Linked DNA regions of Notamacropus eugenii. The protein of the gene in region 1 interacts with the protein of each later gene in a pairwise test. Links are inferred from orthologs where the notes say so. Each region holds a gene or a part of one and is shown on either strand. Other genes may lie near its edges. The genes, in order: BCCIP and RPL23.

Region 1 (16,283 bases):
CAAAGCCACCTAGACTCTGGAGGCAACTCTGCGTACTGTGCAAACAGCTCACAGAGGAGGCATCCTGCACACACGCTGAGACTGCCTTGGCCAGGAAACTACTGGGCAGCCCCTAGGGTGGCTGGCCTGCATGGCCAAGAGCCCTGAAGAGGCTAAGCCCAAGCTGGGAGAGCGAAAGGCTATGGGGTCTTCCTGGGAGCTTCATTTCTCCCCTGAAGACCAAGACTGTGTGCTTATTTTTAGAGCTGGAGAGATCCTCAGCCATCACTGGGTCACAGAATGGCAACCCCCCACTCTTCACCCACTAGGATTGCAGCCAAGCAAACCAAGGCACGGGCATCCAAGGTAACTATCAGCTCATGGTCCCTTGCCAGCAGGTTTGTACATGCATGGAGGTGACTTGGAACCCAATAGGTTCTCAAGTGCCCTTGGCTGGGAGGGACAAGCTCTGCTCTGGAACTAAATCTTAGGGATCTGGGGAAATCCCTTTGGTGATTTCTTTCCTGTCTTAAAGAGAACATTTCTGGAGTGACAGTGAAGGACCCTTAAATCTCAAACCACAGGACGTCCGGGCTGGCAAGGACCATACCCAGTCAGGGCTTCCCTGGTCCAGACCCTGCATTTCACTGAGGACAACTAGAAGGCTCAGAGAGTCAATGCCTAGCCCAGGACACACAGTTTGAAGCCTGTTTCTCTGATGGAATAGTGCCCCGTATGAACTTATGAGGATACAGAACATGGGCCTACAGGGACCTCAGAGAGCATCTAGTTTGCCCCTAACTTTACAGAGGAGGGAAACTGAGGCTCAGAGGTATAAAGGGACTTGGCCTTGGGAGTGAGGGGCAAAGTCAGGTCCATCAGGCCCAAGGCTCCCTCCACAGACAAAGCCAGGGGGCACCAGCTTTTTCTTTAGCCAAATAGGTCTTTGCATCATCTCCAAGTCAGTGATTTTCAGATCCCAAACAGGTCTGAGGCAGTCTTATAAAGCAGGGGGAGAAAAGTGTTGGCTGGACCTATGTTAGCGAGGAGGGAGGAGTCCTGGGGGTACCCACCCCCAACAATTTTAGCACTGTATCATGAAGGGAGTGAATTCCCTGTGGAGCTGGGGAAGGCAGGCCTGGCAGGTGAATCCAGCTGCTCACCTGGAGATACCCCTCTCCCATAGCTGGCTGAGAGCAACTTGGCCTTGCTTGTGGCTGCCTGGCATTGGTGGTGCCTCCTGGAGCCTGCATGCCCTGCTTTCCAAGGACTAGATAGAGGGCTGGGCTTGGGGCCAGGAAGACCCAAGTTCAAATCCAGTCTCAGACATTTACCAGCTGTGAGATCCTGGGCAAGTCACTTAATCCTGTTTCCTACGGTCTTCCCATTTAAATGGAGATAATAAACTGTGCCTCCCTGGCAGAGTGGTTGTGAGGATCAGAGGCAGTATCTCTGTAAAGTGCTTTGCAAGTCTTCAGGTGGTACATAAATGTTAGTGGATGAGTAGGGAGGAGCCAAGCTCAGGAGCTTCTCTGGTCAGGTGGGTCTCACTCACTTGGGGAGAGGGCAGTCAGGAAATGGAGGGTTTAGAAGGGGCATTTTCATCTCACCTTGATGCTCTCAGGGGACTTTGGGCTTTTTGGTTGTTTTCAATGTGACATGAGAGAAGCAGACTCACCTTCCAATTTGTTGTCTCTTTCCAGACACAATTTCACAGCTTCCACTGCGCGGGGGCTGGTGAAAATGAGCCCCCTGTAAGCCTCTGGACGAGACAGCTGCCCACACACAAAACATCTCAGTAAGATCCAACAAATCAGCACACATTTATTAAGCACCTCCATGTGCCTATCTCTGGTGCCAAACCATCCCTCCCCTCATGGTGCTTTATCCTATGGGGGAGGAGGGAATACGTATGTACCAATCTAATTACAACAGCTGACAATTACGTAGCACCTGAATAGGCATCAAAGTAACTTATTTATGTTCTCTCATCTGGAATTCTGGGAGAAAAATGACTCAGCCGCTCCACAAGGCTCCATAAAAGTGCAGATGACCACAGAAAGGGTCAGGACATGGCACCACAACTTCTGGGATGCCCTGGAGGCCAGAACACGCAAAGCAGCATTTAAGTGGCAGCAGAAAGGTGGTGATAAAGCAGGGGCCCGTTGTTTAGGGGATGGGTGAATAAGTTACGGTGTGCGAATTGTCTTTATAGATGGAGAGGAAGAAAAATTTCAAGAAGTCTGAGAAGACATATAAACTACGATGACTGCCATACTGGCAGTGAAGCCAATGTGGAGAACGTCCGAATCCAGATCAGCTGCAATGACACCCTGGGGTCCAACGGGCTAGAATAGAGCTCACTTCCCTACTTAGGGGGCAGGGCTGGTGGCATCCTATGGTGTACAACGTGACAGTGGCTTTGGAACAAGACGGTGGCTTTGGGACGTGCTGTTCGTCAGCTGCTCTTCAGCCAAGGCCCTGACCACTTGACACACATGATAAAAGCCTGTCCCAGACTTAGCTCATTCCCTGCCCGCCCTTGGCCACCCCTCCCTGGCAGGACAGACAGAGCAGAGTATTTGGCCTTACCTTCTCTGAGAAACTCTGCAGAGACAAAAACTCAAAGGATAAAACAGGTATCAATGTAGCTGCAAATCCACATGATCCCAATTCCTGAGGAAAAAGAAGTACCAACACTCAAGACCTGAGAGTTGTCTTAAAAACAAAAGCAGGGCCCCAGGACCCCACTCTGGAAGTCAATGCTGCCTCCCCCAGCCCAATCTGACACCCACAGGGAAGAACAGTGAAGGCAAGCCTGGGTGCCAAGAGGTCATGATGTAATTCTCTGGATCACTTACCTGAATATAGGGATCCTGGCCTGAGTCATCATCCTTAGGGTCTTTCAGTAACAGAATCTTCATTTTTTTATCAGCCGGCCCTTAGGAAAGGCTAAAAGGAAGAAGGGAAATGGATCCTAATTAGATCTGGGGGACTTTTCTCCTTACCCTTGCAGGATCAGGTTGGGTCAAGCAGAAGCTGGTCAATGGACCTGGTGAAGCGCCTGCCTCGTTCCTGGCAGTGAGTAAGCAGCGAGCAGCTCAGGCCCTTCCCTGGGTGGCTGAATCACTGATAAGGATGACAAGAAATGTGCAGGCTGCCTTTGATAAGGCTCATGTTTGGATGACAGGGAAAATATAAGCCCTCAAGGCTCTTTCCAAGGGAAGGGGCTATGAGAGCTCTCCACATTATTTAGGCACATTGACAGCTATGGAAAAGAAAGTCTCTCATATACCTAATGCACTGCAGGAAAGAGCCCTAGTACAGACCCCCTATCATTGTGCGTAGGGATGGTCCATGAAGGATCTTGAGCCCTGGGAAGTCATGTTACAAATGTCACAGCCCTCAGCAGCCAGTGGTGGTGGTGAAGAATGGGGTGCCTATGCATTGGTAATATATCCTTTAACTACCAAGTACTGCTTCATCAATAGAAGATGAGGGGAGGGGACAGGCAAAGCTAAAATTCTATCACTTCTAAGAGACTGCTGACCTCCTTCTCAGTGCAGAAGGTCAGCAGGCAGCAGAGTTTGTCTAGGACCCTGACTGAACAATCCTATTCCTTGGTATCTAAGCAACAAAGCCTTGGCAAACAAATAATGCTTATGAAACCAAATTCTAATTATCTTCACGGTAAGGCAGCTAGATTGCGATGGCTGCTTTGGGGAGATGGGTATTATCTAATCATTTCATGGAGTTATTCATAATGTGTTTCAACCAGAAACTAGCTGCACAGCCTCTCACAATCCTAATACCCCAAGGAAATGGGGATGTAATTGAGTGGCATGGACATCTTGGCATTTGTAGTTCGAACAGAATCTCATTCAGGGTGTACTCAAGTACCCTCTAACTTGAGGATGAAACAGCCACGGCCCATTTCAGCTGAAAGCACCAATTCATACTGAAACTGTCAGCACCAGACTGTGTCCTTTCCTAGCTGTGGCTGAAACCGTCCAACCTAGACTCCCATTGCAGCCCCCTCTCAATGCCCAAGCAGAGCAAGAAAGGCCTTTTTTCTGGTATTTCATTCCAACTCTTGTTTTCCTCCTCTTCTGGCCCTTCGCTTCCTTCTGTGCTGCAGTCTGCTTCATCCTTCCTCCCCCTCTCTACTTTATTTACTGCAGTCAAATTCTTTGCTTGTTTCCTTGCAGTGGCTAGAAAGGACAGATCAGTATCCCCAAAGTGCTGGATGGTGGGTCATTTATAGCTCAACTCAGCCACTATAGCACTGGAAGGCATTTGTGAAATCATTCGAGCTTCTCTGGGACTCTGTTTCCTTAAGTGTTAAACACAAAAACACAGATTAGGCCCAGATGACTGTCGTTTACAAAGTATTTAAGCTTGTACTGTGCCAGGTACCTGGAAAAGATGAAACAGGTCCTGCCCACAAGGAGCTTCTCTCCTTTTCCGGAGAAACGTGAACAAGGAAAAGTAAACACAAAATGGACACAAAGTAACTGGGGGGCTCTGCCTGGGCCTCTGGAACAAAAAGCAACTGAGCTGTACCTTGAGGGGAAGCAGGTATTCCAAAAGTAGAGGGAGTTGATGAGAACTGATGAAAACTCAGAGACTGGAATAGTATTACTGCACCCGGAGTTGAGCCCGCTGACTGGTAGAGTCACTGGTACTGAATGTGGAATCAGAAAGATGCCCTAGACCCAGACTTAGCTGGACATCCTAGCTCAGTCACTTAACTTCTCTGCCTCAGTTTCCTCATGTGTGATAAGGGAACAGGAATAACATCTCCCTCACAGGGCTGTTGTGATGATGAAATGAGATAGCAGCTATAAGGCAGTTTGCAAACCTTAAAGTGCCACATAAATGTTAGCCTTTACTCCTGTGAACTGACATTCTTCAAGGTGAAAGGGCTTTACACAGAAAAGGGTTTTATTCACGGATCAAACATGTTTTAAAACCCAACAGCCTAGTGCAAAATGAGCTTTTTTTTACTTATGTGCTATGCTGTTTTTCCTGATATCCCCAGTGATTTCTCCAATGGAAAATTCAGGGAAAACACTGCAGACAAGTCTTTGTATTACCATCAACTACTGAGGTTTCCTGCCAGAATCCTGAGATCTTTTTGTTTTTAAAGGAAAAAGTACTTTCGTTTTAAAAAAAATTTTTCCAGGCAAAGCTGATGTTCTTTTATGTGTGTTGCGTGTGCAGAGGCACATTTTTCATCAATATTGTCCTCCTAATTGAGGCTTTCTTTTATCTGTAAGAAAAGAATCTAACCAAAGCCATAACCCCTCAGTCCCCAAATAGGCCAGGTACAAACTATATTAGGTCCATCTGAGAAAACAGCCAGCAACTGGACCCAAGGCTAAAAAAAGAGCTCATTAGCAATGTTAAGACCTTTTTAGTTTGTTTTTGGACTTCAAACTACAAAAAAAAGTTTATCATTTCAACAATTCCCTGTTTCCGGCCAGGAAGTCAGGCTGGTGTTTCAATGATCAAGGATCACACTTGTGAAGGAGTCAGAGGAGGTGGACACCAGAGGTGACGTGGGCATGAACAGGGGTGTGCATGGGAGAGAAGGGGACTGGACCACAGGAACCCCCTCTACGAAACCAGGCTGGTACCTGCTTTGAAAACTGTGTTCTAAGGGTGGTCAGGTCAGCTGCCAGTGTGTGTCAGAAGGAGAACTCCAGTCTTCACCTTCCTGGTTCTGAGACTGACTCTCTCCCCACCGGGCCCTACTTGGTGCATGCCTCCTGCATGTAAAAGATAACATTTGGGAAATGTGCAGTTGGGAGAGAAGAGCCAGTTAGCTAGTGGGAGGGAAGGAGAGCTGATGGACACCCCTAGGGCTGCTGACAAATGCCACTAGACACAAATGAGGTTCAGTGGATGGATTTATCTTTCTTTTGATGCTAGGTAATTTCGTTTTCTTCTCTTTGAATGATTTATCTATCTTTTTAAAAGCTGTTAGTATTATTAATTCAATTTTTTTCACTTTCAATTTTATTAATCTTTTTTGATATTTGGATTTTCTATTTTGGCATTTATTTGGAGAGCTTAAATTTGTTGGTTTTCTAGTGTGTGTGTGTTTTTTAATTGCATTGCCCCAATTCATTGATCAGGTCTCTTTTACTAATCAAAGTATTTAGAGCCATAGTTTCCTCTAAAGATAACTTTGGCTGAATCCTGAAAATTCTGCTATGTTTTCTCTTTGTTGTAATTCTCTTAAATGAAGTGATCAGTTTATATTTGTTCTTTGACCTGCCAATTCTTTAGGCTTGAGTTAGTCTCCATTTAATTTTTAATTGTTAATTTAGTGAATATTTGTTGATTTTTAATTGTATTGTGGTCTGTAAAACAGGTGCATTTAATATATCTGCTTTTTTGCATGTTTGTGAGGTTTTTATGCCCTATTACATGGTCATTTTTTTTTTTGTAAAGGTGCTGTCTACAGGTGATAAATATATATAATCCTTTCTATTTCCATCTGACAACCTCTAGAGGACTATCATATCAAATTTTTCTAAAATCTTATTTAGGTCCTTTGCTTCTTTTGGTTAGATTCCTGTAGGTGTGAGGGGGTAAACAGAAGCTCCCTCCCTACTATTATAGTTCTACTGTGTTTTCCTATAACACATTTAACTTTTCTTGTAAGAATTCAGATGTCATGTCATTTTGTGTGTGTGTGCGTGTGTGTATACTCCCTATTTTTCTCTTTTAGTTAAATCTCTTTTTACTATTGCTTTCTCTGAGATCATGAAGTGAGGGTGTGAGCTGAGCTCTGAGAGTGTCTGGATGCCCCTCAGCCCTCCGACTTTCTTTAGTGCCACCTGTTCTTGACCACCAAGGCCCATTCTTAACAGGCTGACCCAGGCTGTCTCTCTCAGGCTCCTGCCTCCAAACCCCAAACTCTCACCTCCTTGCTCCGGTTCCCCAAGCCTCTCCTCTTCAGCTTCAGTCTCCTGGGAGGAAGAGGCGGATGCCATCTTTCCAGACAGCTCTGACTTAAGCTCCCGCGGGGGTGGCCCCCACCTCCCCCACACAGGCTCAGGTCTGGGGCTGCACAAAACCTTCCCTTGGCCCTGGGGCTGGTGGCACTCCCAGCGCCTGGCACGGGAGAGGAGGAGCTTAGGCGGGGCACATTAAACAGAGCTTCTCCCTGCAGCCTGTCCAGCGTGCAGCCGGGCCAGGGGGATGGCGGACCCAGGGAGCGGGAGGAAGAAGACCTGGGTTCGAGCACTGTGCCACACGCTGATGGCTGTGGGGGTCCCGGAGCTTCCTGCGGCTGATGGTGCGGGCTGGCTCCACTGGCACAGGGGAACGTGAGGGGAGGGACTCTGTGCTGTGATCGATGACCCGGAGGCCCTGGGTGACCCTTGACACTAGATGACCCCTTAGGCCCCCACTGGGCAGGGTTTTAGAGGCACACGAAGAAAAGGTCGGAGAAGGCCCGGCCCGGGTTCGAGTTGTGCCTCTGCTAACTCCCTGCCCAGGAGGCCTCGGGCCACTCCCTCCCCTTCCTGGGTCTCAGTTTCCTTCTCTGTCACAAGGGAAGGGCCTTGGACTCCACGGAAGGTACGTCCTTTGAAAATGCTCGTGGCCGTGGACAGCCCTGGGGGGCGGGGGCACTGACCCGGAGCCATGATGTTGGGAGACAGCAGCGACCTCAGTTTCCCCGCCGGTAAACGAAGAGAGCCACGCGAAGGTCTTAAGTGATTCGCGCACAAGTGCGCACGCGCACGGGCGTAGGCGCACGCGCACAGCAGGCCACGCCCCCTGCCCTTCCAAGGATCCACTCCCAGCTCCCCCCTCGGTGGAGCGAACCACTGTCGGACGAGGGGGAACTCAGGCCCGGGGAGGCCAGCATCAGGGCGCATCCAGGATCATTTAATGTTCAACGAAACAGATCAGGCTCGAAGGCTGCTCTCCCTACTTTAGGGGCTTCAAAGCGCCTTAGACTCGCTCCTCTCCCGCCCATACTCTGGGAACTTTCTCCCCACGCGCATGAGCCGGCCCAGAAGCCCTAACCCGGAAGCAGCTGCGCAGGTGCAGTGGGAGACAGGCAGCATGGCGTCCCAGGCCAAGAAGCGCGCCCTGGGCAACCGGCACCCGCAGCCTCCGGGAGCCCGGGCCGAGGAGGAGCGCGAGGAGACGGCGGAGGACACCGACGAGAGCGGCGACGAGAGCGATGAAGAGGAGGACGAAGAAGACGAGCTCGTCAACCAGGTGGGGTGGACCTGCCGCGGCGCTCAGTGACGTCACCGCGTAGCCTGTCAGCCCCTTGAGGGCGGGAGGTTCTGTCCCTCAGGACGTGGCACGCCTTAGGCACGTGGGGAGGGCCCAGTCTGGCTTCTCACACTTTTGACAGGTGGGGAAACCGAGGCCCGGACAGAGGGAGGGACTTGGCTCATTCCTCTCCCCTCCCCCCCTGCTGCAGTGGGCATTAGCGAATGCCTGCCGTATGCCCCGTATGCCCTGCAGCCCCAGCGCGAGGCTCTCTGCCGGTTCCCCTTGGAGCCAGGGCCGGCCTCCCCTGGGTGTGCGAGTGTCCCTGTGTGTGCTCACGTGTGCGCTCACGTGTGTGCCTGTGCTGCCTTGTGTGCATATGTGCGTGTTTGGGCACGGGTGCGTGTTCAGACTTCACGTGGCTGTTGTCCTTCGTCTTCAAAGAGGACCAAAATGACGTCACCATGATAAAGTGAAGTTTCTGTGTGTCCCACTGTTGGTCAGACCAGCACGAGCTCAGAGTGCTCCGCCACAGGTTGGGCACAGACAGTCCGTGGGAGTATCTGGGGTGGATACTCCAAATGTGCACATCCTACACTTACTTTGTGCTGTCTGTTCTGCTTTGCTCATAGAGCACGGCCCCTTTTCTGATGTGGGCACTCCATGCTGAGCCGTCCTGTGCCAGTGTCTCCCATGTTGCACAGTCAGATCCAAAGTTCTTGAGAGTGTCCTTGTATCACTTCTTCTGACCACCACGTGATCACCTGCCCCATGCCAGTTCTCCATAAAGTAGTCTTTTTGGCAAGTGTATATTTTGCATTCGAGCAGTGTGGCCAGCCCATCAGAGTTGTGCTCTCTGAAGCATAGTTTGAAGGCTTGGCAGTTTAGTTCTAGCAAGGACTTCAGCGTCTGGTACCTTATCCTGCCAGGTGATCCTCAGAATCTTCCTAAGACAGTTCAAATGGAAGTGATTCAGTTTCCTGGCATGGCGCTGGCAGACTGTCCATGTTTCATAGGCATACAACAATGAGGTCAACAGAATGGCTCTGTAGGCTTTCAGTTTGGTAGTCAGTCTAATACCTCTTCTCTCCCAAACTTTTCTTTGGAGCCTCCCAAACACGGAGCTATCTCTGGCAGTGTGTGCATCAACCTCATTATCAATGTGTACATCCCTGGAAAGTACACTAGTAAGGATAAGTGAACTTATCCACAGCATTCAAAACTTCTCCGTTTGTTGTAACTGATGGTTCCATGTATGGATGGTGTGGTGGTGGCTGATGAAGCACCTATGTTTTCTTGGTGTTAATTATTAGACCAAAGTTAGCACAGGCAGCAGAGAATTGATCCATTCTTTGTTGCCTCTCAGCTTCAGAGGCTGCATTGGGTGCACAATCATCTCCAAACAGAAAGTCGTGCACAAACACTCCCTTCCATTTTGGTCTTGGCTTATAGCCTTTTCAAATTCAAGAACCTACCATCAGTGCGGTAGCTGAACTTGATGCCATGTTCATTCTCATTGAAAGCATTTGACAGCATGGGAGCAAGCACACAGCCCTGTTTCACTCCATTGGGAAGGCATGAGAGCATTGTCCATTGTCTAGAACCTGGGCAACATACCATCATGAAATTAATGTACAATGCTGATGAACTTCTCCAGGTAACCAAATTTTGACATAATTTTCATTTTGACATAATTTTTCATTCATATTTGACATAAGCATTCGTGACTAACAGTGTCAAAGGCCTTGGTCAGATTTTTCCTGGCATTTCTCCTGGAGTTGTTGGGCGGCAAACACCATATTGACTGTTCCTTGGCCTTTTCTGAAGTTCCCTGACTCTCGGGTATATGACTGTCTTCCAGGTCAGATCAGCCTATTAAGGAGGACTCTAGCAAGAATTTTGCCCACAATGACTAAGAGAGATATCTCTGATTGTCACAGGACAATCTATTCCCTTTACCTTTATAGACATGGACAATGGAGGTATCCTTCAACCCCTGGGTGATAACCTCCTCTTGCTATATAACCTAGAAAATTTCAGTCAGCTTTTGTATGAGCAATGGTCCCCGTACCTTGTAAATCTCAGCTAGAATAGAATCAGTACCAGGTGCTTTGCCACATGAAAGGAGCCTAATGGTCCTCAAAACCTCTTCTTCAGTTGGAAGTTCAACTAAGGAGGGATTGACTTCAACTGAGGTAAACAATCAGTAGCCTCAGCATTGATTGATGATAGTCTGTTGAGAACACTATGGAAGTGTTCAGCCTATCTCTCTAGGATCCTGTCCTTATCACTAATCAATGTGGTTCCATCAGCACTGAGTAGTTGTGATGCATCGTAGGTTGTTGGTCCATAAATAGCTTTCAGGGAATCATAAAAGTGCTTTGGATTGTTACTATCAGCATAAAACTGAATTTCATCTGCATTCTTACTGAGCCAGGAATCCTGCTTCTCTCTAAGCTTTGCTTGTAGCTTTTGCTTTTGATGGAATTAAATGCTGCCTTCTTAGAGGTGGATGAACTATCCTGCTGGTAAATCCTGTGGAGTTCTCGTTTTTTGTTTATCAGCTTCTGAGTTTCCCCATCATTTTCAACAAACCAGTCTTGGTGTTTGCAAGTGTTCTGACCCAGATGAGCAAATGCAGTGCTGTGCACCAAATCTCTGAAAGCTGCCCACTCCCTTTCTGCTCCACTGTTACCAATTGTGCGTTGGCTCAACCTTCCCTCCAAATCAGTAGCAAACTTCATGCTCAGAGAAGAGCTCTAATTTGTTGACATTGATTCTTCTGGTAGTCATTTTGCCTTGGGGGGCAGCACTTTTGATGAATGCGAATATTTAGCTTGGAAAGTCTATGATCAGTCCAGTACTCTGCACCGCACATTGCCTTTGTCACTCTCACATCTTGTCTGTCTCTTCTCCTTACGATCACATAGTCTATTAGATGCCAGTGTGTGCTGCGAGCATGCTTCCATGAAGTTTTATTGTGTTTAGGTAAACTGAAAACAGTGTCAGTGATAAGAAGGTCATGGCATGCACAAGTCTTCAGCAGCAAATGACCATTGCTTTTGCTGTTTCCAACTCCTTTCCTCCCTAGGACTCCCTGCCAAGTCTATGCCTCCAGCCCCAGCGCGAGTCTCTCTGCAGGTTCCCCTTTGAGCCAGGGCTGGCCTCCCCTGTATGTGTACACATGTGTGTGTGCCTACACATGTGTGTGCGTGCACTGCATTGTGTGTATGTACATGTGTTTGGGCATGTGTGCACATTCAGACATTTGTGTATGTGTGTATTCATGGGTGTGTTTGTATGCACTGCCTAGACAGCGCATAGGCACGCACCTGTGTGTTGTGCAAGCGTGAGCGTGTTCGCCATGGCGCAGGGGGTCTGTGGGTAGGTCTGTAGGCCCTGCACCGCTCCACCCATGTCTACACTGGGAGGGGACAGGACCACTGGCTCTGCCTCCTGCCTGCCCTGGGGGTGACAGCCCATGTGATGCTTTCCCTATCGGACAACTCCAGGCCTTCTCCCTAGCTGGGCTGGACCCCGGGGATGGAGAACTGGGTACAGGGACACAGATTGGTTTGAGCCCCACTTAGTCCCATATCCCCCCACTCCCTCCCCAGGCAATGTGGGGAGGAGGCGGCTGGGGGACCTTTTCCTCGGTGTCGTTTACAGGAAGTGACAGTGGAGTTTGAAGCTCATTCTATCTCCAGTGATGACTTTGATGGAATAAAAAAACTACTACAACAGGTAAGACAGGCTGGAAGTTCTTATTCTAACATCAGAATACTTGGAACAACATTTGTTTAAGAGATTGTAGAATGGTGGGTACGTGGGACATTTATTTGGTTAGTCTCCTGTTAGACCTGAACCTGTCACTAGGAATCCGACCTTCACTTAGATGTTGCACTCTTCTCACAATTAAATGTTTTCCTATTTGTCTTTAGCTTTTCCTCAAGGCTGCAGTGAACATTGCTGAGCTCACCAGTCTGCTAATACAGCAGAGTCACGTGGGGAGCGTCATTAAGGTGAGACTCCAAGTCTTTCTTTGTGTGGGAGAAGGGATGGTCACAGTCACAAACTGGGTGATTGGCCATTTCTCCCTGCCAAGAAACTTCCTTTTTGTCTCTACCTTGTTTTTTTGTTTGGAGAAAAAGAAGAATCACTTATGAGGCCATTAGGCAATCTCAGAGTTGGGCAAGACCTTGGAATGCATAGGATCATAGGACTGTAAAGGGACTGTAGAGACTTCGAGGCCTTATTTTACTGATGAGGAAACTGAGGTCTAGGGACTTGTCTAAGGTCAATCAGCAGGCATGTGTTAAGCACCTACTGGGTGCCAGGCATGCTGCTAGCCCCTGAGGGCACAAACCATTCCGTAGTAGTGAGCCGGCGGTCATGCCCTCCTCTCCTCTCCAATCTAGCCCATTGTACTTCTGACCACATTCTGAGCCCCCATGGAATTTATGTTTTTGTGTTCCAAGAGGAGGTGACCCAAGAAAGAGAAAACAAAGAAAGGGATGGGGGAAAGAAGAGGATGTGATATAACAGTCATAATGACCAGATGTTCAGTGATGGCGGTGATACCCACCACCGTAGCACTTGTGAGCCATCACACATGCAGTGTGAGCTGCTGTAGCCTCTTTCCAGCAGAGGTGATGCAGGTGCCCTCACCTAGCCCAAGTTGTGACTCACAGCCCAGCTCTAGAAGCGCATGCCTGTGACCTAGTGATAGAGGGTCCCCAACGGCTGCTGTGGGTGCCTTACCCTACCCTGTGACCATACAGAACAGTATGAGTTAGGAGTCCAAGCTGGCGCACAAAGCAAACATAGCAGTGTCTGTATCATAGGAAGCATGAATGCATCAGAGATCAGTGGAGGGAGGGAAGATGTCCCAGGGAACCAGAGTGGGGACCGGGGGAAGGAAATGAGGAGGGAACCATTGTGGGTCTTGCTGTAGAAGAAACTCTTTGCAGACAGACTCTGATGTCTGCACCTGGCTGTCCTTGGACGTGGTCATGTAAACTATACATCAGCTGCTAGTGTTAGAGCAGGGGGTGTTGCGGGGCCCAAAGGCCCTTGTACAGACCAGTGGTTCAGGAGGAGACGAGGGGCTAGAGCGGTCACATTTGGCAGCCCTTTTTTCTGTAGAAAGGGGAAAGTCCTTCGTGCTTTGAGAAACGAGTGCTGGGGACACTGTCTAAGAAGAGAGGTTTTTGAAGGTGACATCTAATGTGCCTCCGAGCAAGTTGAGCCCCCATGTTTCCCAGCAAAACCTGGGAAGAGCCAGGCCTGGTCCTGGTGCTCCAGATGCTCAGTGAATCACTCTGGGACAAGAATTCTGTGCAAACCCTCCCAGAAGCCAAAACTTCATGAGATCTGAAAGGCAACGACAGGGAGAGGGAATGGTTCCCAGTGGCTAGCTGCACCAATGCCAAATTCTGCACGATTTTTTCTTCCCCAAAATTGTTTTCTACTTTCCTCCTTCCATAAAGTTGTCCCTCCCTCATGTCACAGTCCCGTATTCCAGTGTCCCCTGTACCACATCCCATCCTCACCTTTCTCCTGGGTTCTGGTTCCATACCAGATATGGACATTTCCACCCAGATGTCCAGCCTCGTTGGGTCCAAAAGAGAATTTGTTACATTTCCCCTGAAATGTACCCCTCTCTCAGTACTGCTGGTTTCTTTTCAAAAAGCCACCGTAGTCTAGTCACTAGGTTTATGACTTTGGAATCCTTCTAAACCTGCCCCTCACCCTGCCATGAGTCCAGTTAGTTGTCAGGTCTGGTTAATTCTCACTCTACCACCTCTCTTCATCTCTACTCACAGGGCCCCCAGTCTTAGGTATGGGTGACCTTTCACCTGGGCTACTTCCAGAGCCTGACTTCTGCGATGTTTTTGTTCGGCGGACCAGGACAGCGTCCTGGATATTATGTGGCCCGTGAGATACTATCCTAGCAGGGTCAGCCTTGTTTCTCCTTTTCATCCTTCCCCAGCATTTTAATATAACGAGAATCTGGTCAAGAGGGAAGCTTACCAGAATAAGAGCTTAGTATTTGTGTACATAAAGTGATTTCATAAAATCAGAGCTGGAAGGGACCATGGTCCCACACTCTCGTCTTGTGGGTGAGGAGGCTGCAGACCTGAGGGGTTGTAACTTGTTGGTGCCCTAGAAAGAGCTAACAATTTATTGTTTTATTGAAATGCTGCTCGTTCCCCAGATCTGTACTTTCTGTTGGCACAGAGATGCCCTGGAGCTCTTTGCTCTGGATGCCATCTAGGTTGGTGCTGCATGAAGTGCACCATGGGGGTTAATGTCTATGAAACTTTTCTTCCTTTCATTTCATATAACAATAAGTAAATGAGCAGGCCAAAGGTTAAGTGGACTTAGCCAGTTTTAATGCCAATTAAAATTAGCCCATTTTCTGCCTAATAACCTTTTAGAAACGGAAGAGACAGACTCCTAGTCAAGGAGCCCTGGGGATGGGCCTGTGTGACACTGATCAGCTCATTGAACCTTTTTGGTTTGGCCTTGGGAGCAGGGCCCCTTTCAACTCTGAAATCACAAGATTTGGAAAATCTGGGAGAAATGTCTAAGTGAAGACACATCAGCAGTAATGCTGACTGCCCCATTCTTGTTTCCATTCTTCTGAACCCAAATCTCACACATCTCTCATTTTAAAATAGCAAACAGATGTTCCAGAAGAAAGTGATGAGGAGGAGGATGAAGAAGACGAGATTTTTGGTTTCATAAGCCTCTTGAATTTAACCGAAAGCAAGGTCAGCTCTCTGTGTCATGTCTGCATGGATACTCTTAAGATTTACTACCTTTCCTGTTAGGCATTTGTGCTGATTACACTGATGTCTGGTAATTCCTTCTGAAAACACTTTTTCATTAAGAAAGTTCTATATCACTGGGATTCAGTAGAAATCTTGAATTGTTTCTGCATGGTTCAGTGAAGATGCTTCTCCAAGCGGTTGGGTTCTCCTGTTGAATGTTGGCTTGTTCTGGGCTACACATCTGCTCATGAGCCCTGGTTTTAGGGGCTCACTGATACAGGCTGAATACTGATAGTGATGATTTGGGAGTTCTGCAGTTGAAGCCAGTGAGCTTATTGGTGACATTTCATTTTGTGTTTTTCAGTCAGTAGACATTTATTTAACACCTACTATGCGCTAAAAAGAGGCAGAAGATAGGCCCTGCCCTCTAGGAGCTCATAGTCTAATGGGAGAACACAGATACATGTGTGTCAATGGGTAAACATATATATATATCCAAATATGCAAGCATATACAAAGCAAGTGGATAGATGATAAATAGAAGACAATTGGGAAAGGTGGAATTTTTGATTGGAAGCTAGTGGGTGGAGATGAGGAGGGAGAGCATTCCAGGCAGGGTGGGGCGGCCAGAGAAAATGGGTTTTTTGGTCCCTCTTTCCATTGCTTGATGTGTTTCTCATAAAACTTCCTCTCCCTGCTTTGTCTCATCAGGTTGGCTTGTTCCTCACTTGAATTGTGTGCACTTTTCAGTCTCTTTTTGTAAGGCAGGTTATCATGATCATTCAGAAGCCTTTTCTTGTCACTGACCACATGGTTGCTAAATCACTAGCAGCAAAACGGTTACCTTGGAAATGAGGTAAACATTTCACTAGCAGAGCCCTTTTGAGACCAGAGCAGGAACTCACTTGGCCGTAGACTCCTCAGAGTAATGAGTTAGAGCTGACTTTCAGGTTTTCTCATGTCATTGGCTGGTCTCTAATGTCAAGGAAACCTTCTTTTTGATTTCCAGGGTACTGAATGCACTGAACAGATTAAAGAGTTGATTCTGAGCCTCTGTGAGAAGGATATGGTTGAACAGCTGCATAAGCTCCTCAATGATCCCACTAAACCTGTGGGTCTCCTGCTAAGTGAAAGATTCATTAACGTCCCGCCCCAGATCGCTCTGCCCATGCACCAGCAGCTCCAGTAAGAGACCTTCTGAAGTCATTTTTTTTCCAGATGGTTTCAGAAATGTGATCTAAATGGAAATGTGTTGTTGCAGAGAGGGAGAGAGAGAAGGCTGTC
Region 2 (17,132 bases), on another chromosome or scaffold:
GTCAAGGAAACAGGGCAGACAGAGGAAGGTAAAGCTTCTTCCTAACATACTAAACAAGAGTATTTCTCTCCAGAAATCATCCTGTACTTTCCTCTGCCTCTGGACTAAATTACATATCCCATAACTAAGGAAGAAAAATTCACCCCTTTCAAAAGCATCTTATTTGTGGATCTCTGGGTGCAAGGCACACTCCTACAGGTCGCATGTCACACCAGAGGAGAGGAGAACCAAGGATGTACCTAAACAGACCCTCTTCAGCCCCAAATGGGAACCTATGGGGTTATTTTTTGCAGGGGGCCTTCCCCCATCTTCTACTAAATGGAGACTTGGAAAGTTAGAGCCAAAACATAAACTGTGTTACAGCTTGAAGCTGGGTATTTACTTGCTTCCTGCCAGCTTTCAGATCCAGCTGCTTTCAAGGACTGGCGTTGGAGTGGGGAGGGGGAAACAGCTTGCACTTGGGTACTAGGGAAGCCAGGATCCCCTAAACTGTTCACTCAACTCCTGACCTTCTTCAAAGTCCACCTCTGTACTTGGGGTAAGAGAGTGGAATCTCTTTGCCAATTTTGACCTGGAGGAGACAGTTATACAGGTTGTGTGCTGTCATACAGAGGAAAGGGAAGGGGGATGGGGAAGAGGTACAGGAACTTCCCAAAGACAAGCCTAAGGCCCACCTATACTTCCTCTTCCAGCTTGGGTAAGGGAGCATCCGAGGAGGGCAACCTATGGGCCAGGAGGAACACAGGGCATCTTCTGGGACTCCCTATTCTTGACCTTACTTCTCCTCCCTCCCATTCACCAAGTAAAAAAGGACTCTCCCTCTCAAATTCTCAGTTTTTCCAAACTGGCTGAGCTGGGCTCAGAGAAGCAGGAGCATTCTGCAGTCTGGCAAAGTATAAATTCGGTAATTTTCAAGAGACATGACCTAGCATCCCCTTTCCTGCCTTCCCTCCCCAAAACACCCTCCAACTCCAAGCACACTAGGAGCAGATTTATAGATGGCACCACTCCCTCATTTTACAGATAAAAAAAATGGAGGCCCTAGGCCTTTGCCAAAGTCACATAATAGTAACCGTCAGAAGCAGCATTTGAACCCAGTTCCTCTGACCTAGAACTAGAGCTCTTTTCACTATACTCTAATTCCTTCCTAACCCCTTTCCTGAGTGTTCCCTACTCCTAGGAGAAGGAAGGGGGCCAGGAAGATACATTCCTTTAAAGGCTACTGGGCACACCCCCAAATGCCAGGCTAGGGTACAATGGGCGTCAGGAGCTCTCAGAACTCTCACCTCCAGGTGTCCAAACTAAACTTAGATACACACTCACCAAGGTATTGGAGGGGTACAGAGAAAGACTCTGTCCCTTACATCCCACTCCTAAACGTTAAGAGGAGATAGGCTATCAATATAGGCTATCAATATTTCTTTTCTCCCAGCTTCCCTTCCCTCGGGGTCCTGGCAGGGGTACCACCATAACAGCAGCCCCGGAGCTCCAAGGACAAGTTCTGGTGCAATAGAGAACTTCACCCCCTCACCCTGTGACTCAGGGAGAACAGGGACAAGCAAGGAAGTTAGAGCAGGAAGGGGGAGGAGAGAAGGGGGAAAAGAGACAAAGTGTCCAGTGAGCTCTCCCTGGCCTTCCAAAAGCAAAATCAGCCAAAGTCCCTGAACAAACTTGGCCTGGAAAGCCCAGCCCAGCCCGGCTGCCCCTCCCCTCCCCCAGTCCCCCAAAGAACACTTCTGGGGAGAAAAAAAGAGAAGACACGGAATACTCAGGCCTGAAAAAGGGAAAGGAGGGGGAGGGGGAAGGGGAAGAGATAGGAAGCAAAGGGAAAGGGACTGGGACAAAAGGAAAAGGAACATTCCCAAGGTCGCCAGGTGGACGTGGCTCCGGGGAAACCACCTGGAAGGAGGGGGCGGAGGGAAGGGAAGCGTGGGGACATGCTGGATTTCCTCAATAGAACTCAGAGAACTGCAGCAGAGGAACCCTGAATTGGAAACACAACCCTTCCACCTCCCCACCCAATCCCCAAAACAGACTAATGGGAATCAGATGAGCAAGCTAAGGTATTGGGGGGGGGGGGGGTTACAAAGGCCAGCCCCGTGTGAAGGAATTTCCAAAAGGCCACTTTCTCTCCCAATCACACCTTTCCCCTCAATTTCTTAGGTTTCCCTTAAACTCGGCCAGTTCTGGCCCCCCAACACTCTCCCCACCAGCAACCTACCGAACAATCCGTTCACTCTTTGTTCTACAACCAAGCTCCCTGACCCCACCTGAGGACAGCCGCCCCCCCACACCCCATCTTCCACTCGTCCCCATCTACTCCAACTGGGCATCCAAAGGGCCTAGCCACAGTCCCTTGATCCTGGCTGCAACTAGTTTGAGGGTTTTACCCTTTGGGGGTAAGAGGAAGTCAACAAGAGGGAGTCCTGACCCGGGGGGTGGGGGTGCTCCAGTCTGCCTCTCCTTAGAAGAGGTTCTCATGGAGGAACCCCCTCCCCCACACACACAAACCCCCGGTGTAAGCCCATCCGTGCGCTCGGACTCATCGAAGGCCCCCAGCCTACAGCCAAGAAACTGGGGGAAGGGACAGAGCCCCACAAGGGAGAGTGTAACGGGGCCCCCCAGTCTCTGCCCCGCCCCCCTCCCCCCAACCCGGCGCTTCCGCCTACTTGGCGCTCAGCGCGGTGGAGGGAGCGGCTCCTTCCCGGGGCCCGGGGGAGCCTAGGGATGAGGGGGTTCAAGTCTGGTCCCCCGAAAGTCCTACTAGTCCGGCTCCCCTGCCCCTCTCTTTGGCAAACTGGAGCCCTTCCCCACCCCCAGTCTCAGCATCCCCGAGCCCACGTCGCCTCCTGCAGCGGCCCCTGGACAGGCATGGACGTCCCCCCGCACTGAGACCCCACAAATGGAAGTATCCCGCCCCCAACCCTGAATCCCAGCGGCTGGAGCCGGGGCTGCTCTCAGCCAGACTGGGCCCCCTTCCCGCTGAGCCCCGCAGAGCTCCTGCACCCCCGCGTCCCCCCTCTGCCCCCTTAAATTGTCCGAGCTGGTGACGCCCCCCCCTCCCCCCCGCTGGTCCAGGACCCTCGCAGGGGAGGCTGCAGGTAGGGGCCGAGCCCCGCCCGGCTCACTGGGACGCAGCCCGGGGGGGCAGCCTGGCGGCGGCGGCGGCTCGCTCACCTTGTCCAAACAGTTCACCTTCTCCGTGGGGTACACGATCTTGCCGCACCGGGCGCAGTTGGGGTTCATGGTGGCGGGCGGAGCGGGCCGGGGGCGCCCAAGCTGGCAGGGCTGGTCCTCTCCCTCCCTCTTCCCTTCCCTCCTTCCCCAGGCGGGCTGGGGCGCTGCGGCGGCGGCGGCTGGAGCTGGGGAACTGGCCTCCGCCTCCGCCCTGCTTCCCCTAATAAACACGGCCGGGAGGAGGGGCTGCACCGGGGCGGGGAGCGCGCGGCCGCCGCCGCCACGGGGGCGCGCTCCGAGGGGAGGCCGGGGAGCGAGCGGGGCGCGCTCACGTGGAGCCGCGGGGGCGAGCCGGGGAAGGGAGGCAAGGAGAAGGCCGAAGGGGACGGGGCGCCGACCCCAGGAAGATCACACCCGCCTCGGAGTTACTGCGTGGAGGAGGAGCGGTCCTTCCTGGGGGCGCGCTGGGGGGATCTCCCCTGACGTGCCCCTCTAGGAGCCTCTCGGCCCAACGGCATCTGCACCTTGCACCTTCTCGGCCAGCTCAGGAACTTCACCCTGTCCCCCAGGAGCTCTCTTCTGCAGGGTTCTAGAGAACCTCCGGCTTCGCTCTCCCCCCACCTCGGATGGTCTGCAGCTGCAGCAGCGACGACCATCGCTCGGGGCTGAAAAGACTTACTTCCCAACGACCCACCGGCGTTGGGGGTATAGCTCAGTGGTAGAGCATTTGACTGCAGATCAAGAGGTCCCTGGTTCAAATCCGGGTGCCCCCTTCCGCGCTTTTGTTTTCTGTGGAGTTCGTTCTAGTTGGGACCCTGTCTCAAGACCAGTGTCTTAAAATGACGCCATGGATCCGAAGAAAAAGGAAAAGAATGCGGGATCATTTTAATACTCCCTAACCGTGGACGAGTAAGTCTCCCTAAAAGAAGCTCTGTAGGTTTGGCTTTGTTCCTGGAGAGGGAGGGAATCAAGTATGGACCCTGTACTCTTTCCAGTTTAAAGGTTTTGGAACGACCGGGCTCCCTGGCAAGCCTGCCGCAGCCCTTCATTTCCGGACACCGGGCGGCGTGGAGGGCAGAGGGTGTAGGCACCTGGGGGGGAAGAAAGCCATGGCTACATTCCCCGATTATCCGTGGCCTGGAGGTCCAGTTCCCTCTCCATCTTCCACTTCCTTCCCATTCTCCCTAACCCTCTCTCGCTCCCCGCTTAGTAGCAGATGAGATAAGGGCAGTGTGAAGTTTCCCTTGCATTCTATAGGCATTCGTAGTCTATCGGTCAACACACATTAAGCACCTACTGTGTGCCAGTCACTTTGCCAAGCGCAGAAGATACAAAGAAAGGCAAAAGAAAAAATGTCTCCTTCCTCTAGGAACTGGCATTCTAATGGGTGAGACAACTGCAAACAATGTACAAACAAATGTAGACGAGATAAATTGAAATCATCTCAGTCAGAAGGCACTTGCATTAAGATAGACTGGAAAAGTCAGGAGGTGGGATTTTAGCTGAGACTTCAGGGAAGCCGGGAGGTGGGTCGAGGAGGAAAAAAGTTTCGGTAAAAGTTAGTCTAGGAAAAGTTACAAGTGTTGTGCAGACACAAAATATCATTACTATGTTGTAATTATTTCGTTACAAAAAAATAACTCGGGTAAATCAAATGCAAACTCTTTAAAATACTAACCCTGTTGATTAATCTCATCACTACAGTTTAATGCCAGGATGGCAATGAACTGCTTATATGGTTATTATTAATATTATCATCCAGGGGAAATACAGGAGGAGGGGGAAGGGAGAGACCCTAAACAATCCACAGGAATGAGTATCCTTTCTTCAACTGCATTTTTGGCCCCAAAAAAGGGAAAAAATAAGGGAAGGAGTGGAGCATGCTTCCTGGGTTAGAGGTCAGCCGCGTTATTTTAAATCCAGAGCAAGACTGTCATCTTTCACCCGGACCATGGGAATCTGATGCTGCATTCTTTCCATTCTTATTACTTCATTTTCCACCCGAACAGGGGAGAAAAAAAATGAAACTCTTCCAGATACCCTCCCATCTATTAGGAAAAACACCCTCTCAACCCTATAAGGAGAACCAATGCGCTCAGCAGAACCGTGGGGACCTGGTTTCTGAAACTGAAAATCAAGAGTGGCTAATTGCCTTGTAAAAAAAAAATTCATAATTCTTCCACGTGCCTTTGCTTTCCTACTCCCCAAGATCTCCAAAGGACTTAAATTCATGACCTCACCATTTAAGAGGCAGAAATTGTTCCTCTGAACTACGAACTCCAGCCTTTGAGAGGTGCTGCTTTTCATCTCTCTGGACTGTAAATTTCTTTACCTGGAAACCTAGGGCCAAGTTTAGGGAAGTGTGGGAGGGACCTCAAGTTAATCCTATTATGTGCTTTCTCTCCTAACTTCTGATTGCAATAAAGGCTGAAGGAAAAATTAGCTATGATACATCAGTTAACAAGCATGCTCTGTGACTCGCAATAGTGCTGATCAAGAAGCTTTTATTCTATGAGGGAAACAATTTTGTTCAGTCGTTTCGGTAGTGTTCGACTCTTCGTGACCCCATTTGGGTTTGGTTTTTTGTTGGTTTTTTTTTGGCAAAGATACTGGAGTGGTTTGCCATTTTCTTCTCCAGCTCATTTTACAGATGAGGAAACTGAAGCAAACAGGGTTAAGGGACTTGTCCAGGGTCACACAGCTAAAGTCTGATGCCGGATTCAGTCCCAGTACTCTATGTACTGCACCACCTAGCTGCCCATTACACACACACACACACACACACACACACACACACACACACACACACACACACACACACACATTTTCATATTATGGCGTTGTAGACATAGGTTAATAAATATGTAATCATCTCCACGAAAAAGGTAGAACTCCATATCCAAGGGCTTTGGAACAGGGGTTATAAACATAAAAATTTTATATGCTTATATTTTATAAAATAGATTTCTATACATAAGTTATATTTATACGCGGTATATTCTGTCCATATCTTATACGTATATTTTATTTATCTGTTTATTTACTCGCTTATTTGTTTATTTATTTATGTTGGCCGAAGAAGGCCAGTATGCAGATAAAGTGGAATGTCCTGGAAAAGCAGAAGTGCAGCCCCACATACGTGGTTTAAATGAAAGAGGAGGGAGAGGGATTTGTCAATTAAATGTAAAACAACGCTGGACTCTTCCACCCCCACCCCCACCCCACAGCTGGCAGAACATCGCCCCTCCCCCTTCCCGCGACGATGCTGCCCAGGAGCCGGGGGGCAGCAGCTCTGAGTCCTGTCCACCCAAACGTACGCGTGGCCCTGTAATTCAGGGAATCGGGTCTGCTCTGCTTTTGTACCCCATCCTCCGGGTGCTCTCTTCCCTGCTCTGAGAAGCGCGGGCGGTGGGGAATCTGGAGCATCCAGACTGGGGCCGTAGCGATCAAAATTGAAGAGGTACAGAATAATCGTACATCATCCAGTTCCACTCTGCCTTTCTTCAGGTCTGTGAGACCACGCCTTCTGTTATCAGTCAATCTTCCAATCCAGCTCTTTGTCGGGTTTCTGACGCGCGTCGGAACTGGCATTAAGGTATCGGTGTTAGCTTTTTTTCCTTGTTTTGTGTTTTTTTGACTAGGTTGATTTAGTACTTGAAAGTTGCCAACGAAAATGCAAAAGCTAGTTTACAGGGGGCACCCGGATTTGAACCGGGGACCTCTTGATCTGCAGTCAAATGCTCTACCACTGAGCTATACCCCCTCTGCTGGTGAAACTCATACAATCGCTTTCCAGCAGCTGTAAGGTTCTTGTGCTTTTTTTGTAGTCTGGAAAGATTTTTTTTTTTCTTCCAAAGAACATCACTAGATTTCCCAGTGTATAAGCAAGACTTAAAACTTCAAATCTAACACAACAGATTTTGAAAACATTTAACTTTATCTCCAATATGTGTAAATTGAGGATAAAAATCCGTGTTCAGACTCACCAAGATTATTTGAGAACACTGGAAATAACAAAGACTTCGTAAATTGTAAAGAAAATTTAAAAAAATAAAAATAAAAATTGTAGAGAATTACAACCACTGTTCTCATCAAACGGCTTCCCCAGTTTTCCATCCACCTTTCTTCCTCCAGGTACAGGCAAAATAAAGTCTTATTTTCAAAGACTATATACCAGTATTCCTCAGGAATGGTTTCTCATGCTATCTGCCCAAGAAAACAAAAACCTGAACTTTGCAGCAAGTAAACCTCCTTAAATATATAGTTATTTTTTATCTATGTTGCAGATGAAAAAATTAAAGTAGGTCAGTCAAGTCAAGTCACCAAAATTGTATACAGGTCCTGTTTCTTTTTAAGAAGCAATAAATGTATTCACTTAAACCAAAAGAGTGAGGAAATACTGTAATTACTTCCTCTCAATCTGAGACAAAAATACTAACTTCATATCATGGTCACCTAGCAAGTAAAGGAATAGTTTTTGGTAACTCACCTGTTATGTACTGAACCCATACAACTCAAAAGGAAGAACCATAGAAAGAATGTGGACCATTCCAGAGAGACAAATAACTAACAATACTTATTAGGTATTGCCAAACTAGTAATACTGATACTAGTACTAGTAGATTAGTAGATAACTAGTACTAGTTATTTCCAAAATTCTCAAATAATCTTGTTGAGTTGGAGGCATCATTCTGAGCCAGGAGGAGAAAAGGATAGAGGAATGGATGGATGGATGGATGGATGGATGGATGGATGGATGGATGAATGGATGGATGAATGGATGGATGGACAGATGAAAGGATGGATGGATGGATGGATAGATGAATGGATGGATGGATGGACAGATGGATGGATGGAGGGGTGGATGAGCCATTATTACTTGCTTGCTTGCCTATTGTGTGCAAAGTGTGCAAACTACCAAAGAATTATTTTATAGAGCGAGAAAAAATAATAACAAAATTCATTTGGAAGAACAAAAGTTTAAGAAGATCCAGAGAGTCGATGGGGAAAAAAAGTGAAAGAAGGCAAACTAGTTCTACCAGATTTCAAATGACATTACAAATTGGTCATCATCAAAGCAATCTGGCACTACTAGATAAGAAACAGAATGGTTTGATCAGTGGAATAGATTGGGTATGAAATTTACATCAATAACTGACCATAGTAATCTGATGTTTGACAAAACTTTATAAAGATCTAATAAGACAACTAATGAAGCAAAGAGGGATGAGATTACCAGGACATCCTCTTCCTCTAAGATAAGAAAGATTTGTGTAGAAAGAAAGATTCGGAAGTAGAGATGGAGATTTAAAACCTGATTATTTTGATACCAGGAAAGTAAAATTTTATTTAGGCTTTGTGCCAAAAGTGAAAGATGGGGAGGGGTGAGGTTAAAGATTTTGGTTTTGTGAGTTTCAAGAAAGATTCAATGAAATAAGCTAAAAGATCGTCAGTAATCCAGAAGAGTGCAGTTAAAGTTGGACAATACATTTGTAGTGGCCTAGATCAGAGTTCTCAACATTCTCTAGCTATACTTTGAGGTTATACTTGGCAGTGCCAATGAGCCAGGGTCAGAACTACCACCGAAAATATTTTCTCAGAGATGTTCCACCACTAGTGAAAATGAAAGAAGTTAAAGTGGTAGGATAGAATTTAGACTCAAAGAACTTCCCAGCTGTCTTAACACCTAAGGGAAATGAAACCCAATGTGTAAACCAGCAGGGTGGAGATTATAAATGAAGAACTTCCCCCTCAGAAGAGGGCAACAGTGGAAATCCAGTAGTAAGGAGATGGCACTCTCTCTACTTTCTATTTGACCTGTTGGTCAGGGACAGATTCATTCTTCATTGTCATCACCAGCTACAAACTGGATTTTGTAAAGTAAGCAGAGTAAAGAAAACAAAATGCACAATAACTAAAACAAAGTCAATGGAAAGAACAACAAATAAAGATTGAAAAATTGAATTATCACTTCTTTGAGTCTGGGGAAATGGAGTCAATTTTATTACATCTACCAAGAATGTTTTGTACTCAAAAATGCCTTGTTGACAATCCATTTAAGTGACAACAATAAACTACAGGTTCTAAGGGGGTATAGCTCAGAGGTAGAGCATTTGACTGCAGATCAAGAGGTCCCTGGTTCAATTCCGGGTGCCCCCTCTTAAAAGAGATGTCTGTTTTAATTACTTAAGTATTTCAAAACAACGAAGTATTTTAGTCCCAAATGCCTGAAATTCCCGAGACTGGTACCCCAGCACACCAGAACAGTTTCATGTGGCAAGGAAAACTCCCTGCAAGGAAACCAGAACAGTGTAACCCAAGGTACTAGCGAGTCAACTGTAGGTCAATTCCTAAAAGTTTGTATTCCTTATAGTAAATGTAGGTGAACATGTATGTCATGTCAATGTAAAGGACAAATCTGATTCCTTCCATGTTTTGTGGGAGTGGAGATGAGCCCTGGGTTCATGAACTGGCTCCCTATAGTGAACAGATCCTGTAGTGGGACAACTGTGAGTACTCAGGTGTAGACATAATTCTACCACAAGTAATTCATGAAAATCTTTTAAGATATGGGGAAGGGCTAAACTGGGGTGGGTTAGATCTACACCCCTGGAGTAAGCACCCACCCTCATATTAATAATCATCCTGAAGTTTAAAACAGTAACTGACATTTATACAGCACAATTTGCAAAGTGGTTTGCATATACTATCTCATCTGGGATAATGTAAGATAGTCAGGAGGGTCCAGATGACAATTCTTGAGTCTCTTCTCACTGTTTCCTCGAAAGTTGAAATGTAAACTTCTTCAGGGGAGGAATTGTTTTCCATTTTGTCTTTTTATCTCCAGCACCTAGCTTATTAAATTCTTGTTGAATTAAACTGAGCTAACCCTTATCTTGCTTTCACTACAGTACTGATTTTTTATCTTTTGGGGGGTGTATTGTTTTGACAGCGACTTAATTTCTAAATTTCTGAATATATCTATCTCTCTTCTTCACCAGCTCAACGAGCTACCCTTTTGTTACGAGACAAAAAAAAATAGATTACAAAGAATAAAAGAAACAGAAAAAAGAAAATTCAGTAAAAAGCAATCACCCATTAACCAGATATATACAATAATAATAACATTTTAATGCAAATTATTAATCAATATGAAAATAATATAAACAAAAACACATGAATGATTTAATTGGAATTATAGCATTATAAATAAAAACAATGCAATTTCATTTAAAAATAATATATAATATATATAATTTCTATATATTTAACCAAAATGATGTAACTTGTTAATACAAATGTAAATGATAAATTTATTTCAATTTAATCAATATATAATTTCCATATTGATTAATGAATTATTACTATTAATATATTATTAAATCCGATTGATGGGTGATTGGTTTTAATTGAATTTTCTTTTTTTCTCTTTGCTGTTTCTTTTTTATTTTTTGAGGTGTCTTTTGTTTTATGTCTTTGTCATATAGTATGATTAATAATTACATAGGGGGAGATAGGTGGCAGTGAATAGAGCGCCAGGCCTGGAGTAAGCAAGAGCTCCGTTCAAATTTGAATTCAGGCACTTAACTAGCATTGGGAGCCTGGGCAAGTCACTTAATCCTGTCGGCCTCAGTTTACTCATGTGTAAAATGAACTGGAGAAAGAACCATTTCTTTTTCCATTTCAAACCACTCCAGTTCCTTTGCCAAGAAAACCCCAGAAAGGGTTACGAAGAATCGTAGACGACCGAAAACGACGGAATACCAATACAATTTTCTACACTCGCTAGTCCCTCGCCTTTTCAAATAAGCATCAGCTCCGAACTGCAGTTTCCCCACCAGGGCTGAAGAGGGCGCCAAAGTGCATCGCACCGCCCCCACCACGCAGTCGCTAGCTTATTTTTTTATAGTCACGTGACGGGGGAGCGCTCCTCTGGAGGGCAGGAAGCTGCTTCCGGTCACGTGACAAGAGGGGGAGGCGGAGCTTCTCTGTTCATTTCCCGAAGTGCCCCGCGTTTCCTCTCTCTTTGGTGCTTTCCGGGAATCAAGATGTCTAAGCGAGGTGAGTTTCTTGAGCCGCGAAATCCGCCGCCATCCTTCGCTCTCGGGGCCGGGGTCTGCCGAAGAGCCGCCGGATGGGGAAGCGGGAGCTCTTAGCTCCTCCCTGGACCCAATTGGGAGAGTCCTGTCCTTGAGAGAAGGCAGTGAAAAGACCCGGAGATGGGGGAAGGGATGATAGACGGACTCAGTGGCTTTTTCCGTCCACCTGTGACACATGAGCCACGGCTCTGGCCCACTCGCAGCCTTCTTCGGAGGCCTGGCCTGCCTGGCGGGGAGGCGCCCTAGAAGGGGAAGGCTTGGAGTAGGGGGGTTTCTGCCGAGGGGAAGGAGCTGTTTGTAAAAAGAAGGTAGGTAGGGTGGGGCGGTAATCGTGCCACCCTCGTAGGGGTTCTGATGCCTTGGGATGGAGGTCGTTCACGACCGCCGTACCGCTTTTGATGGTTGCAGACCAAATTGTTCTCCCTGCTTCCTACCTTTTCCCCTTTCCAATGGATCCTTCACACAGCTGTCAAATTGCTACTTCTAAGCCAATTGCAGCTCACCTCTCCCATCCTCATGCACGTTACTTCCCAGATCCACTCTACTGTCTTCTTTAAAATTCCCTGTATTCTTCATAGACCTTTTCTCCCCAGAATATAAGCTTGAGGAATAGAACTGTTACTTTTTTTTCCTTTATATCCTTAGTATTTAGCAGAGGTATGGGTTTAATAAATATTTGGTGTATTAGTAAATTGAATAAGCCTTCTGCTTATAAGAGCCTGTTTTCGCATGTATAGTTTATCTTCCGTGCCTAGCTTGTATTAGAGAAAGGTGTGAGTATCCCAAGTATGAAGTAGATCTGTTTGTTGTAGTATTATAAGAAAGGAGCCATGGGGCATCTTTGCACCCCTCTTGTTTACAGCCTAGACAAGGCCATACCCATGAGAATCTTTCAGCAAATAGGAAAGTGAGTTATCTGTAGAATAAGATAAGTTGCTAAGTTTGCTTCTGACCTAAAACTCCGTGATGTAAGTAAGTCCAAAAGCAATTTTCTAAGGAGAAATAGAGACCTAGTTAGGAGAAGAGCTTTGTGGATGCTGGATTGATTCTTGTATATCTTTCCTTAGGACGAGGTGGGTCTTCGGGAGCAAAGTTCCGAATTTCCTTGGGTCTCCCGGTGGGAGCTGTCATCAATTGTGCTGATAATACGGGTGAGTCCCTGGTATGCTTGGCTCTTATCCTCCCATTGGATTTAACCATGATTTGGTAAATGCCCAAAGAATTGAGAAGCATTTGACTGTCTAGCTCTACTTAACTTCTCCCTTCAAAAAGCACTCAGTGGGCCTTCTTGCAATGACCCATAGAGCCGTCATGAAAGGGTAAAGAAAATGACACTGCTTTTGGGTGAAGCGGCAGCTTGTGCTGTTTAGCTTCAATCGGTGGTGTAACAATACCTCTAGCCATACAGGTATCATTCAGCATTGACTTCATCATGGAGTGAAATGGTAAGAATAAATGTCTGGTAGCCATTTATGATGAAAAAAAACCCACTGCTACAAATCTTTTCCTTATAGGTGCCAAGAACCTGTACATCATCTCTGTGAAGGGGATTAAGGGGAGATTGAACAGGCTTCCTGCTGCTGGTGTAGGTGACATGGTAATGGCTACAGTCAAAAAGGGAAAGCCAGAGCTCCGGAAGAAGGGTGAGTGGAGGAAAAAGAATCTCCCCTTCATTCTCTTGGTGAGAATCGAAAGACCTACTCAGTTTATGATCCCTTGTTAAGAGTTTTCCAATGTGAAATGCTATGGCCCTGAAGCCTTGTCTCTCAAGTGTTAGGCCTCAGTATCCAACAGTGGCTTCCCTTGGTGGACTCCACACTACTTTGATGGGGTAATGTCCATATTCAAGATGGGTGCATTAAGCTGTGAAAGAAGCCTGGGTGGAGAAGAAAAAGAAATTGCTCCATAAATTTCTTTTGAGAAGTATAAAGATTCCACTGATAGTGATCTCTCAGTAATAGTGGGCTCTGAAAGAGACTGAACTGACTGCATCATAAGAGATTTTATCTAAGCCCAACCCAGCTCCCCAGGCTTCAGCCTTTTAAAAGACCATGAGGCATGGTAATAAGACCTTTGCTTTCCTTAATGGATGGGTTTTAGTTTTGGCCTTTCCACAACCATCTAGGCGGTTTTGACTTCATTCTGAACCTGTTCATAGTATGAAAGACAATATCTACACTGTGTAGTTTACATCATAGAATTCTTTCCTAGGGAGGGCATATTGTGTACATATCATGAAGTAGTAGTGAGTTATTTGTAAAATAAGGGTTTCTGAGATCCATTCTAAAAGCCTGTGATTCATATAAGTGAGAATAACAAGTTTTTATCTAATTTTGGTATTTAGGTTAGTTTTAAAACCTTGTCTCCCAGAAAATCTGAATATTTATTGCTCATTCTGACTTGGGTGATGGTCTTATGGAGAAGTAGGTAAAGCTGAATTCCCTTTCAAAAGCACTTTATGGGTCTCTTCAGTGACTTGGGAAGTTATCCAGAAAGGGCAGAATATAACAACCATCACTTTTGGGTGAGGTAACAGCTGCATGTGCTGTTGGTCTCAATCAGTGGTGTGACAGGCCTATAGTTTTTTTCAAAACAGTGTGTTAGAAGGATGGTTTGACAAAACTGCCTCTATTACCCCAAGCTAATATTTTTTTTATTTATTGTACTTCAAAGTGTAAAATCATTCTTAACTGGTGAGACAGATTTGGCCCTCATGCTAGTTTGCCGATCCCTGTGTCCCACCTGTTTGAAACCTTCCCTGGCTATTCTAGACCACAGTTTTCTTTCCTTTGTTAGAATCCCTATATTTGTGTCCCTGATTGGTACATTTGTTTTCCATATTTGTGTGTTCTTTAGTTTCAAGGATTATTAGCCCTTTTGTCTCATTAACCCCTTTGGCAGATTAGATCCCTTCTCTCAATGCTGTTTTTAAATGCACAAAATGCATAGGATTGTGTGCCAAATATATTAAAATATAACCAAATTTTGGGGAAAAGATCATAGACCCCAGGCGAAGAACCTTTCTCTAGGTCTTTCCCTTAAGCATATTGTTACCATTTCAAAGGTAGGAAGCCTGTTCTCTTAGGAGTTTAAAAAAATTCCTTACAGGTTTTCCTCAACAGAAAGAGTAGTTGAGGCAGTATTCCTTCCCCATACTTGAGTTGGTTTTGCAGGAAAGCTCTTAAGTGTTTTCAAAATTGATTGGTCTTAAGTCAGAGGAAACTTGTTCAGTTTACAGGTTTTGAGAAGCCACAACCAAGCAGCATGCGTCTGGGTTCAAAGCCCACCTCTGCTGCTTTGGGGAAGTAACTTCCCCTATATGGGTCCTCTTCAGTGAAAAGAGGAGGTTGGGCCAAGGTGATCTGTAGCATCCATTTGTTGCTTCATTTAAGAGCATGAACTCTGGTTGAGACTCCAAGTATCTTTTAAAGCTTGTTTTCAATATGTAGTTGAGGAAAGTATAGGTGAGGGAATGTCCGTTATCTCCTTTGTTGTTCTATAATACACCTATTGGAGCTGAACTTGTCATTGATCTTTTCCTTTATAGTTCATCCAGCAGTGGTAATACGGCAACGGAAGTCGTATCGGAGAAAAGATGGTGTGTTCCTATATTTTGAAGACAATGCGGGGGTCATAGTAAACAACAAAGGCGAGATGAAAGGTAGGGGTTTGGGTTTTTTCTTCTGTGGTTGGGTGGGTGGTTCCTTCAAAAGATAGTACCTGTTCAGCTTTTGCTTTTTCCTCTTCTCTCCTGTAGGTTCAGCCATCACAGGGCCTGTTGCCAAGGAGTGTGCTGATTTGTGGCCCAGGATTGCATCTAATGCAGGCAGCATTGCTTGATTCTCCTAAAGCCCATTTGTAAAAAATGCCTCATTAAAGTGTCTGCCTATATATTTGCTTTTTTGCCTTGTCTTTGTTTTACCCTGATCTTTTTCAGAACCATTGAAGTCTGAAAACTAGCCTGTGTTTTTCTTCTAATGGTTTGATGTTAACCCTCCTGTGATAAAGCATTTCTGCTATCCTAAAATAAGACCATCCACTTGAGGTTGACTTAATCTAGTCCAATGTGTCAGTGACATATTAGAGCACTGGACTTTGATTAGCCTGATGAACAAAAGAAATACTCTTCTTGAGTTCAGATTTGGCCTCAGACACTTTAACTAGCTGTCTGGCCTTAGGCAGGTCACAACCTTGTTTTGCCTCAGTTTTCTCATCTGTAAAATGAGCTGGAGAAGGAAATGGCAAACCACCGCAGTAATCTTTGACAATAAAAAACTGAACAAGTAATTTTACCAACACCAGGACAATACGGTATACCATATACTGTCTTTTCCCTGTTGCTTCCTTGGGTCAGTGATTTGGTAGATTGAGGTTTTCATTGTGTTGTGTTGCCAGTAGTAGAATTGTCATTTCTTTATATTAGGTTTGCTGTTTACAGAGCAGTTGGATACTACCTAGAAATACATATGTGCCTTTGGATTTTAGGTCAGTCTGGATTATTTAGGAGAGGAGTGCTTTTCAAACCTTGGAAAACACTTATAAATGGGTGGAAGGGGCTTCAAGGGAGAAAGAGTTGGATCTATTTTCAGTTGATCCTCTATATCGCTTATTTGTATACAGTATTTGCATGTTGTCTTCTCCCTATTAGACTGTGAGCTCCTCAAGGGTAGGGACTGTCTTAACTTTGTATCCTAGTGCTTAGCACAGTGTAGCTTGTAGGTGCTTAATAAATGTTTATTGACCAACTGATATGTTTTATCCTTCAGTTAGGGCAGTGGTAGTATGCTGGCCCTAGAGTATAAGATTCTCTTGGATTAGTGTAGTGTACCTGAACATCCCCTGGGTTGATTTTTGTGAAGATCTTCATAGACAAGCCTTGAAACACCCAAAAGTCAGCTGAAATTAATGTGATTTTCACTGAATTTATTGACGTAATCTAATTGAGAGGGTTTTGACAAGGAAAGAAAAAGCTTACAACCACAAGGGTAAAGTAACAGATAGAATTTTACTTCCCTCATTGAAAAAGATAAAAGTTGTACTCATCAATTTTTTTTTTTTCACACAGCTTTTGATGGGAAGTTCAGGAGTCAGGTCCGTGAGGAATTGCTGGTGAATCTTCCTACTGCCATCCCCTTGCATTCAAAGCCTGAGACAGGCTGCCGAAAAAATGTAAACTGGCACCCTCTCCTTTAACCAACCCCCTTTACCTTTTATCTGCTCAAAAATTTCTGGTAGCCCCTAAGCCTGGCAGTTCAATTCCAATTCTATTCTATCTGCAGTTAGGTATTCAAAATAGGGATTAAGAAAAGGTTCCTATGTACTACATACAATGAGTCTTGATGAACTAGGGATTTCAGAAGATAGTGTGCCTTGTAGGCATAGGGGACAACTCTTGGCAAAGGCTGAGAGCTGGGATACCAAGTAATGACAAGCCAATTTGGCTTGGAATATTTGTGAAAAATAGTATGAAATAAACCAGCAGCCAGAAGGACTTTAAAAGACCAGACTGCTTAGTTTTGTATTTGTGCAAATGGTTGATGAGTTATTTATTAGGACAGTGACATGGTCAAATCTGCTTTAAGATTATGTTGACAATTTAAGAAGGTGAACAGAATAAAACCCCGAGGGAGGTAAAAGTTCAATCAAGATGGTGAGAGTGTGAATGAAAGTGAGATGTTCACAGAATTTGCTAATTAGGAAGGTTAAGGGAAAGGAAAGACTCAAGAATGATTGAGATTGTAAACCTTTTGTTACTGAAACAATGGTGAGTCCCTTCTTTAAACAGAAATGGGCTGGGAGACGTATGAGTTGAGATGACTTATTAGACATTTTGCTTTTGATTCAAGGGGATATCTA

The links.
Region 2: the proteins of BCCIP (region 1) and RPL23 interact in binary tests that used the Homo sapiens proteins (3 or more experiments, as listed by UniProt). The link is inferred for Notamacropus eugenii from reciprocal best matches to the Homo sapiens genes BCCIP and RPL23.

What each region holds. Positions count from the first base shown.
Region 1 is NC_092872.1:282,194,110-282,210,392, forward strand, and holds the start of BCCIP (BRCA2 and CDKN1A-interacting protein), read left to right. Parts: upstream 1-8,001; coding exon 8,002-8,223; intron 8,224-11,892; coding exon 11,893-11,967; intron 11,968-12,164; coding exon 12,165-12,245; intron 12,246-14,906; coding exon 14,907-14,999; intron 15,000-16,008; coding exon 16,009-16,184; intron 16,185-16,283. Other genes in the region: UROS (uroporphyrinogen-III synthase), read right to left, coding at 1,658-1,754, 2,572-2,655, 2,841-2,903. UniProt on the Homo sapiens protein: During interphase, required for microtubule organizing and anchoring activities. During mitosis, required for the organization and stabilization of the spindle pole.
Region 2 is NC_092873.1:354,397,247-354,414,378, reverse strand, and holds RPL23 (large ribosomal subunit protein uL14), read left to right. Parts: upstream 1-10,654; 5' UTR 10,655-11,225; coding exon 11,226-11,238; intron 11,239-12,343; coding exon 12,344-12,427; intron 12,428-12,535; exon of another isoform or gene 12,536-12,669; intron 12,670-12,790; coding exon 12,791-12,919; intron 12,920-13,715; exon of another isoform or gene 13,716-13,851; intron 13,852-14,823; coding exon 14,824-14,937; intron 14,938-15,033; coding exon 15,034-15,116; 3' UTR 15,117-15,167; downstream 15,168-17,132. Other genes in the region: LASP1 (LIM and SH3 domain protein 1), read right to left, coding at 3,178-3,246.